2 linked regions of the Cricetulus griseus genome follow. The protein of the gene in region 2 interacts with the protein of the main gene of each other region in a biochemical or structural test. Links are inferred from orthologs where the notes say so. Each region holds a gene or a part of one and is shown on either strand. Other genes may lie near its edges.

Region 1 (4,516 bases), on a different chromosome or scaffold from region 2:
TGGTGGTGAGCTGCTGGCCACTGCTGATTGACTGACAGAGTCTAGGCATCAGAAATGAGCATGTTATCAATCAGAGCAAAGTTCTGAAGAATGAGCCCTTCTTCCCAGAATTTTTTTTTTTTTTTTTTTTTTTTTTGAGACAGGACTTCCAAGTGTTTGGGATTATAAGTGAGCCACCAAGTCTGCCCAATAACAGTATTTTTAAGATTATAAGATTATATCTTATTATATCTTATGTCCTTGTAGGAGAACAATTCTCCCCTTTTCTTTGTATTTGAGCATACTGATGTTTAGAAACTACTTCCATCAAATTTTTGTACATTCTAATTAGACTCACCACATTTATTTCAAACTACTAATTTTTGTTACCAAGTAGCTGAATGTTAGGGGAATAAACTAATACATAAGGGACTAACCTCTACATCTTTTTCTACATGATTCCATTAAGAAAATGAATTACAGATGGGCATGGTGGCACATACCTTTGATCCCAGCACTCAAGAAGCAGAGGCAGGGGGATTTCTTAGTTTAATGCCAGCCTGATTGACATAGTGAGTTCCAGACCAGCCAGGTCTACAATAATGAGATCCTGTCGCAAAAAAACAAAGTTATGAGTATGTGTGTGTGCCTGCCTGCCTGAGTTTATGTGCATCACACCTGTGCCGGTGCCTACTCAGGCTAGACGAGCATATTAGATCCTCTAGAGTTGGAGTAATAAGCTTTATAAGCTATTGTGAGGTACCTGGTGTGGGTGCTAGGAATGGAACCAGGGTTCTCTCCAAGAGCAGTACACACTCTCGAGCCACCTCACCCGCCCCAAGAGAAAGGTCTTTAAGTCATGGGTTTTCTGAAAACCTGGCTTCTACCCATTAAAAATAAAACAGCTGTTCTGCCCTCCTTTTGATATTTGAGATAGAAGCTGAGCATGCATTCAAGCCTGGGTGCTGGCTTTCTCCTTTCAACTCTAAAAGACTATGAAAGGAGCTGACAAAACACTGTAGGGAAATTACCACCAGCAGATGTTACTGCTAGAGCTAATAAATAGTTTATTTAAAGGATGTCCAATTTCCGAAGACACGTATGTAAGCATGATGTAGACTTTATCAAAAAGTAATATGGGGCTGGGGGTGAAGCTCAGTGCAAAAATGCATGTTTTGACCCTCATCAACCTCTAAAAAGTGGACAGTATCCTCTCCTATCATGACTCCTCTTTAAGCTAGGATTGTGCTGTGTTGCCCAATCTAGTCTTCAGCTACTGTGATCAAACAATTCTTTTTTTTCAACCTCTGCAAATGTAGGAGCTCCAAGAGAATGCCCATGATTGACTCGCTTCATGTTTAAACACTGTAAAACACTGTGAACTCATTACACACAATCTTCTGTAAGTCTTCTCATAAATAATTAAAATAAAAGTTCACTTTCCCTGTGAAGGTTCTTTACCTGGTTATTTGGATGATGAAGAAACACTGTTACACATCCTGTTGACGAAGCAGCTACGATTCTTTCCTGATCAAAAAACTAAATAGAAAAATTCTGCTTATTATTATAGATTTGGAAATATTAAGGAGAAAAAAGTCCATTACTTCACCTTGACTAATAGCAAACCTTGTAAGGATTTAAAGAAGCAAGCAGCTGAAACAAATAAAATATGTTAAATGTGTTAAAATGTTTAAGAAATTTTTATATAAACTATGAGTATTTTCATGAAGGATAAATAGTAAGTTTAAAGTTTTACTCTACATTTTGATTTGGGGCTGCAATGATAAAAGTCTTGAAATGTGTCAATCGTAAGAGTAGGCAGCTTTTTACTGAGTAAAATGCACTGCATCTGAATTGATACAGATTTTTTTTTTATGAGGGAGACTCTCTGATGCCCAAGCTCATCTAATTTCTACTAAGTTGTTAAAGAAACCATAGAAGAGCAGTCCTGCACAATATTTTCTATATGTTCAAAAGATACCAGTCTCATCTGTCTGATTAGTAAAGTGGTGAACAGAACTTGACGGCTGGGATACATACACTCAAAGGTAGAGAGCACTTCCCTAGCACATGTGAGATCCTGAGAGCATCCCCATCACAACACATGATAAACCCTGACTCACAGACATGCAATGCAAATTAACATACCTGTATAACACTCACCAAACAGCATTTGGCAAGTAGATGGGCAAATTTTGTTTGTTTTTTGAGATAAGGTCTCAAAATGTGGCTCAGTCTGGCCTTGTGATCCCTCCTGCCTCTGCCTGCCATGGGCTGGAATTAGAGGCTTGCACCCACATGCCGGCTTGGACAATTAATTTTCAAACTGATTGACACAAATTCACTTTCCCAACCCCACTTCTGTCACTAAGTGCCTAAACAACGATGTAGTAAATTACAATTCAGAGATTAGTGTCCTGTAAACCAGGAATGACAGTAGACGAACTATACGGTGCTAAATGTATGATCAGATTTCCAAGTTTAGCTTTGGGGGACAACTCAGATTTACCTGTAAATCCATGACATCACCATGATGTCTGATATCGCACAGTAATTGATGGTCTCCTTCAAACCCTCCGTCAGAATCCAAATTCCCAAAATCTCCAATAGACCACAGTGAAACGCAGTTTTCCTGCAAAGCAGAAAGTTTTATCTTGGGGTGACGAAAACGTCAACTAATTCAGACTGCCTTTCGGGCGTCCTTGCTCCAAAAGCATCTCAGACAAACGGTATGTTAAGATCTGAAACGATCAGAGATGTGGCCCGTTTCGGACGGTATGTCTACAAACTTGGTGAAGGTTTAAAACCAGATCCGAGGCTCAAATACACCACCAGGGCTCTGAGGTAGGGCAGCCAAGCAGGAGACCCGCAAGCCATAAGCTGCTTTCGCGCGCTGGCGCGAGGGGCGTGGAGCAGAGCAGCCGGGGACCCGCCCGGGGCCGGGTACCTCATTGTCCCAAGAGCCCGTAGCGAAGGTCTCTGCGGTCTGCAGGCTCCCAGAAGGCACTGGCCGCCAGCGGGTCTTGCTAATTTTCTGAGACACGAACTTAGCATAAATTTCCTCCATGCTGAAATCTAGAAGAAGCTTCAGCAGAAAGCACACTGCGCGCTCCTCAGGCCCGCCCCTTCCTGCGCGGTTCTGATTGGATGAGACCCCACGGGAAAGACGGTGGCTGCAGACAGCCAATTCTCGACATCAGGAGGACGCGCCAGCCCCTAAACTGAAGGAGGTTGTGATACCGCACTCTTGAAAGTAGTTATGAACAAAGATCCAGCCCCTAAAACCTTCAACAAAAAAGACACACTCCTAAGGCGAAATCAATCTAGGAACACTGACAATATATTATTTGTGCAATGGTCGTGTAATGTGAGAAGTTTTTTTTTTAATATTTAGGGTTTTTTGTTCATTATAAAAACTTTATTATTAAAACGTTGTAAATAAAAAAATAAAATAAATTTAAAATACGTTGTAAATAAAAAAAATCATCACACACCAAAATTAACCTGACCCAAAGACTATACAATCCAATGAACTTCCATACATTTAGCTCAGCCATTCAGAAGCTGTGGAGCTTCACATTGGATTTTATACTTTCACAAATGTATATTTACTTTAATTTTTTTTTGAGACTGTGTTTCTTTGTGGCTTTGGAGGCTGTCCTGGAACTAGCTCTTGTAGACCAGGCTGATCTCGAACTCACAGAGATCCATCCACCTGCCTCTACCTCCTGAGTGCTGGGACTAAAGGCGCTCGCCACCACCGCCCGGCTATATTTAATTTTATTAGCGAATATGTTTTTATGCACTATCTACCTCCAACTCCCCCAAAAAAAATTCATGACAGATTTAGAGGTAGGAAAACAATTGCATTTATTATTCTTTTGATAAATCTTTAAAAATATTTAATTTTTGAAATTTTTAAATTGTGTGTGTGAATATTTTGTTTGCCTGTATGTTTGTGTCTATTGCATGTGTTCATGCCTGGTGGAGTCCCTGGAACTGGAGTTACAGAAGGTTGTGAACTGCCATGTGGGTGCTGGGAAATGAACTCAGGTCCTCTGGAAGAGCAACATGTGCTTTTAACTGCTGAGCTATCTTCTCAGCCCTTAAAATAACTTTATTTTTACTTTATTTTAAGTTATCTATATGTAACTGTCTGCATGTGTATATGTGCATGTGAAGACAGGTGCCTGAAGAGGCTCTGGACATTCAGGAGCTGGAAATAGAGGCAGGTGTGAGCTCACAAAACCCATGCAGGAGGTGAGAAGCCAACACTAGCCCTCTGAAAGATCAGCAAATCCTTTTAACTGCTGAATTAGCTCTCTAGACCTGTCAGAGAAAAATCTAAGTATAAAATTTTTTCTTAAAAATTCAGGAGGAAATATCTTGTACCAGCCGTGAGCACTTAGATGAACTTCACTGCACATAGAAAATGTTTTTTAAACCTTAGGGCTGGAGAGATTGCTCAACCACTAGCAGCACTTGCTCTCACAGAGAGCCTGGGTTCAGTTCCCAGAACCTACATTGTAGCTCCATT
Region 2 (3,813 bases):
AACACTGGTGAGTTTATTTTCCAATGAATTAGGAAGTAAACTAGCATAACACACGGGCGGCTCTTGATGAATTGTGTTTAAAAGAGCTGTATTTGAGTAAAAGAAAGAGATAATTTTGAGAAGCTTTGTCAATAAATTTAATCAATCAATCAACAATTAACTAATTAATAAGCAGAACAAATTTTTGAAGTTGGAGCCAGGGCAGTGGTGGACACCTGTGAACCTGCCACTTCGGAGGCCAAGTGTCAAGGGCTCTATGCTGGCCTGGCCTGTAATCCTAGCACTTGGAATGTGAGGGTAGGGGATGAAGACTTCCAGGCCAGCCTGAACTTATGAAATCCTACTTAAAAAAAGAAAAAGTAAAAGAGAAAGGAGAAGGAGAAAGAAAGGTGCATATGCCATGGACTGAAGCTTAGGAAACAGGCTATTAAAGGCTGAGTCCAGGCGCTGAAGAAGATCTCAGCCATGGAGAACACTGGCTGTTCTTGCAAAAAGCCTGGGTTTGATTCCCAGCGACCATATGGTTGGCAGCTACAACCATCGGAAACTCCAGTTCCAGGGGATCTGACATCTGCTCTGACCTCTGTAAGGATGGTACACACGGTACACAGAAACACATGCAGGCAAAATACCCATCCACATAAAATAAAATAAATACATCTAAAAAAATTAATCCCAACACTCGGGAGGCAGAGGCAGGCGGTTCTGTGAGTTCGAGACCAGCCTGGTCTACAAGAGCTAGTTCCAGGACAGTCTCCAAAGCCACAGGGAAACCCTGTCTTGAAAAACAAAAAAAAAAAACCAAAAAACAAAACAAAAAAAATATCTAAAAAGAAAAAAAAACCCAGCAAAGTCCAGAGCAGGTAAGGTAGCTCATGTTGTAAACCCAGCATTCAGGAGTCTACAACAGAAAGATCAATAATACAAGTCCACTGCCAGCTTGTGAGTGAGTCCCTGTCTCAAAAAGCAACAGAAGGGCTGGAGACATTGATGTGTAGGTAAGAGAATTTGTTGTGCAAACATGAGGTGCAGAGTTTGGGTCATAGCACACACAAGCTGGAGACCTGAGCTACGGGAGAACAGAGAGAGGAGGATCACTGGAGTTTGCAGACTTCTAGTCTAGCCAAGAAATCACAACACCTATGTCCAAGGAGAAACAGAATAAGCAGAGAATGATAGAGCACATCCAACACCCTCTTCCGTCCCCCACATGCACGCACAGGTGACCTGCATGTGCAGACACTCAAAGAACACACACAATAAAAATAAGTAAAAATAAAGGGGACATGTAGACTGAGGGTGTGTATATATAGCTCAGTGACAGTGAAGGCGCTTAGCACACCGAGGGTACTGGGACTAAGACCCAACACTGTAGAACCTGAAAGAGCAAAGCCTGACATAAGGCCCCCCACAAAAGATAAGGAGACCTGGACCCTGTCCTTACCAAGATGAAGTGAAGTGGCGCCACCCCTCCCCCAAATCATCACTACGCTTCAGTTCAGACATCTTAACTCCTTGAACCTTGGTTCTCAGGAAAACACACACCGTGCCAGGCCAAGGCAGGGTATTGTCCCGGTTCATCCATTACAAAAGCACTGGCGTCCCACTAAGAAAAAAATCCTGTATGTCACCTTCTGGTCCTAATGAATGACTCCCACTTGCTGCTCAGCAAAAGTGAAGTGTTGAGTATGTGAGACTAAATGGTGGTCCCAAAAGCTCAACTCTCCATCTCAAATGACAGTTTACCAATACCATGTGCTTAAGACTCATCGCGTCCACAGGAAATAAAAACTCAGTATTTCTCAAGCAGACCCTGTGTTCCAATGGGTGAGGCCTTTGAAGGAAACACCAGCGCTTTCAAAGCCACACCTGCCAGCCCAACGAGCTGCTGGTCTACCTGGAAAGAAGAAACCTCCTGCAACAGTGACTATAAAGCCACCCTAGACACTAAGGACACGGACAGACATAATGTCGCCAATACAATGAAAACAGCTACCCCTTACCTGGCTGCTGAACTGCCGACCACTGGCTGGATCTTTAGCAGCAACTAGCAGAATACAAAACATCATAAGTGAACACTCAATCAGAATTGATTATATTCAATCTACTAAGCTCTCCTTCTAAGCTCAGTATGGCTCCTGTCTTTGTTTTAACACCCACCCATTTTCATTGAAAACTTTTATATACAAGGCCCCACTTTGAACTGCAAAGTAGTCTCCTTAAAGGCCTCTGGAGAAAACAGCACCAGACACATTCTTCAAATATACCAAAGTCCTTACTTGCAACCTGGTGCATTTCTTCCATACAGGCCCGTATGACTGATCGGTAATTCTTACTCACTCGAACCAATCTACAAAGAAATGAAATGGCATACAAGAGAATATTAAAAAAAAAAAAAATAGGAAAAGGACAGGTGTTATTGTCTCACACCTTTACTCACAGAACTTTGGAGGCAGAGGCAGCTTGCAGCTCTGGCTGGCCTGGAACTCACTATGCAGACCAGGTTGGCTGCCTCATTTTCAAATCTCACAAAAATGAAATCTAATTCAAGGCTTTCCTTTTATTTATTTATTACATACAAGGGACACATACAAAAAAATGAAGTAGGAACTGTAAAGCTTATCAAGCCGGGCGTTGGTGGCGCAGCCTTTAAACCCAGCACTTGGGAGGCAGAGGCAGCCGGATCTCTGAGAGTTCTAAGCCTGCCTGGTCTCCAGAGTGAGTTCCAGGACAGGCTCCAAAGTCCCAGAGAAACAGTGTCTCGAAAAACCAAAACAAGAAAAAGAAGAGCTTATCAAACCAGTAAGTAAGTATTACAACAGTATTTATACAATTTAGAAGTCCCCTTCTGGGAAAATACACAGGAGACCCGTGGCCCCCCATCACTCACAAGGATAAGGACTTCAGCATCCACCAGCACCCTACTTACTGAGCTTTCCTGGATTTTCCGGTCAATTCCTCCTCAATTCTTTGCAGGCCAATGAAGATTCCATGGGATTCATTGAAGAGTTTTCTCAAAATCTGAGAGTAAACATCTACATCTTTCCGTACGATGTAGATAAAGGGGCAGCTCGGCACCTTCTCGGATGTGTCTACTACAGAACAGGGAAAAAAATTAATTCAACATCTACCATTTCCACAAAAGAGAAACCATTCTAGTATTTCTAGTTCTTTAATTACAAAAACTGGCTGAGCAGGGGGCACACATCTATACACTCAGCCCTTGTAAGACTAAAGTGGGACGATTAGAAATTACAAAATAATAGTCACATACAATTCCATGCAAGTTAGGCCTACCTTTAAAAAAAACCAACGTTTTCTTTTCAGAGGATGGGGAATTGGGGAATGTTGAGATGGGGTCTCACTCCATAGCCAAGAATGGTGTCAAAGTCTTGGCAATCCTGCCTCAGTGCTAGGATTACAAACGGGCAACACAGCAGTTTCCTCTTTCTGGTGATACTGATGATCTAATTAAGGGTGTTTCACACACTATACAAGTTTATCCCCCAAGCCACTCAGTGATATATTAAGTATCCTTGGTTTTGCTTTGGTTTTTGGCTTTTTTTTTTAATGTTTTTTTCGAGACAGGGTTTCTCTGTGTAGCTTTGGAGCCTGAACTGGCACTCGCTCTGGAGACCAGGCTGGTCTCGAACTCACAGAGATCCACCTGCCTCTGCCTCCTGAGTGCTGGGATTAAAGGCGTGCGCCACCACCACCACCGCCTGGCGTTATCCTTGGTTTTTGAGAAAGGGTTTGGCAATGTATCCCAGGCTGGCCTCGAACTCTCCACCCTCCTGCTACTACACTGCATGG

Evidence for each region.
Region 1: the proteins of Nup85 (region 2) and Nup43 form a complex in vitro, tested with the Homo sapiens proteins (2 studies listed by BioGRID). The link is inferred for Cricetulus griseus from reciprocal best matches to the Homo sapiens genes NUP85 and NUP43.

What each region holds. Positions count from the first base shown.
Region 1 is NC_048595.1:280,415,589-280,420,104, forward strand, and holds the start of Nup43 (nucleoporin Nup43), read right to left. Parts: upstream 3,114-4,516; 5' UTR 3,047-3,113; coding exon 2,927-3,046; intron 2,612-2,926; coding exon 2,489-2,611; intron 1,519-2,488; coding exon 1,441-1,518; intron 42-1,440; coding exon 1-41. UniProt on the Homo sapiens protein: Component of the Nup107-160 subcomplex of the nuclear pore complex (NPC). The Nup107-160 subcomplex is required for the assembly of a functional NPC.
Region 2 is NC_048600.1:128,160,604-128,164,416, reverse strand, and holds part of Nup85 (nuclear pore complex protein Nup85), read right to left. Parts: intron 3,096-3,813; coding exon 2,930-3,095; intron 2,351-2,929; coding exon 2,280-2,350; intron 2,048-2,279; coding exon 2,004-2,047; intron 1-2,003. UniProt on the Homo sapiens protein: Essential component of the nuclear pore complex (NPC) that seems to be required for NPC assembly and maintenance. As part of the NPC Nup107-160 subcomplex plays a role in RNA export and in tethering NUP96/Nup98 and NUP153 to the nucleus.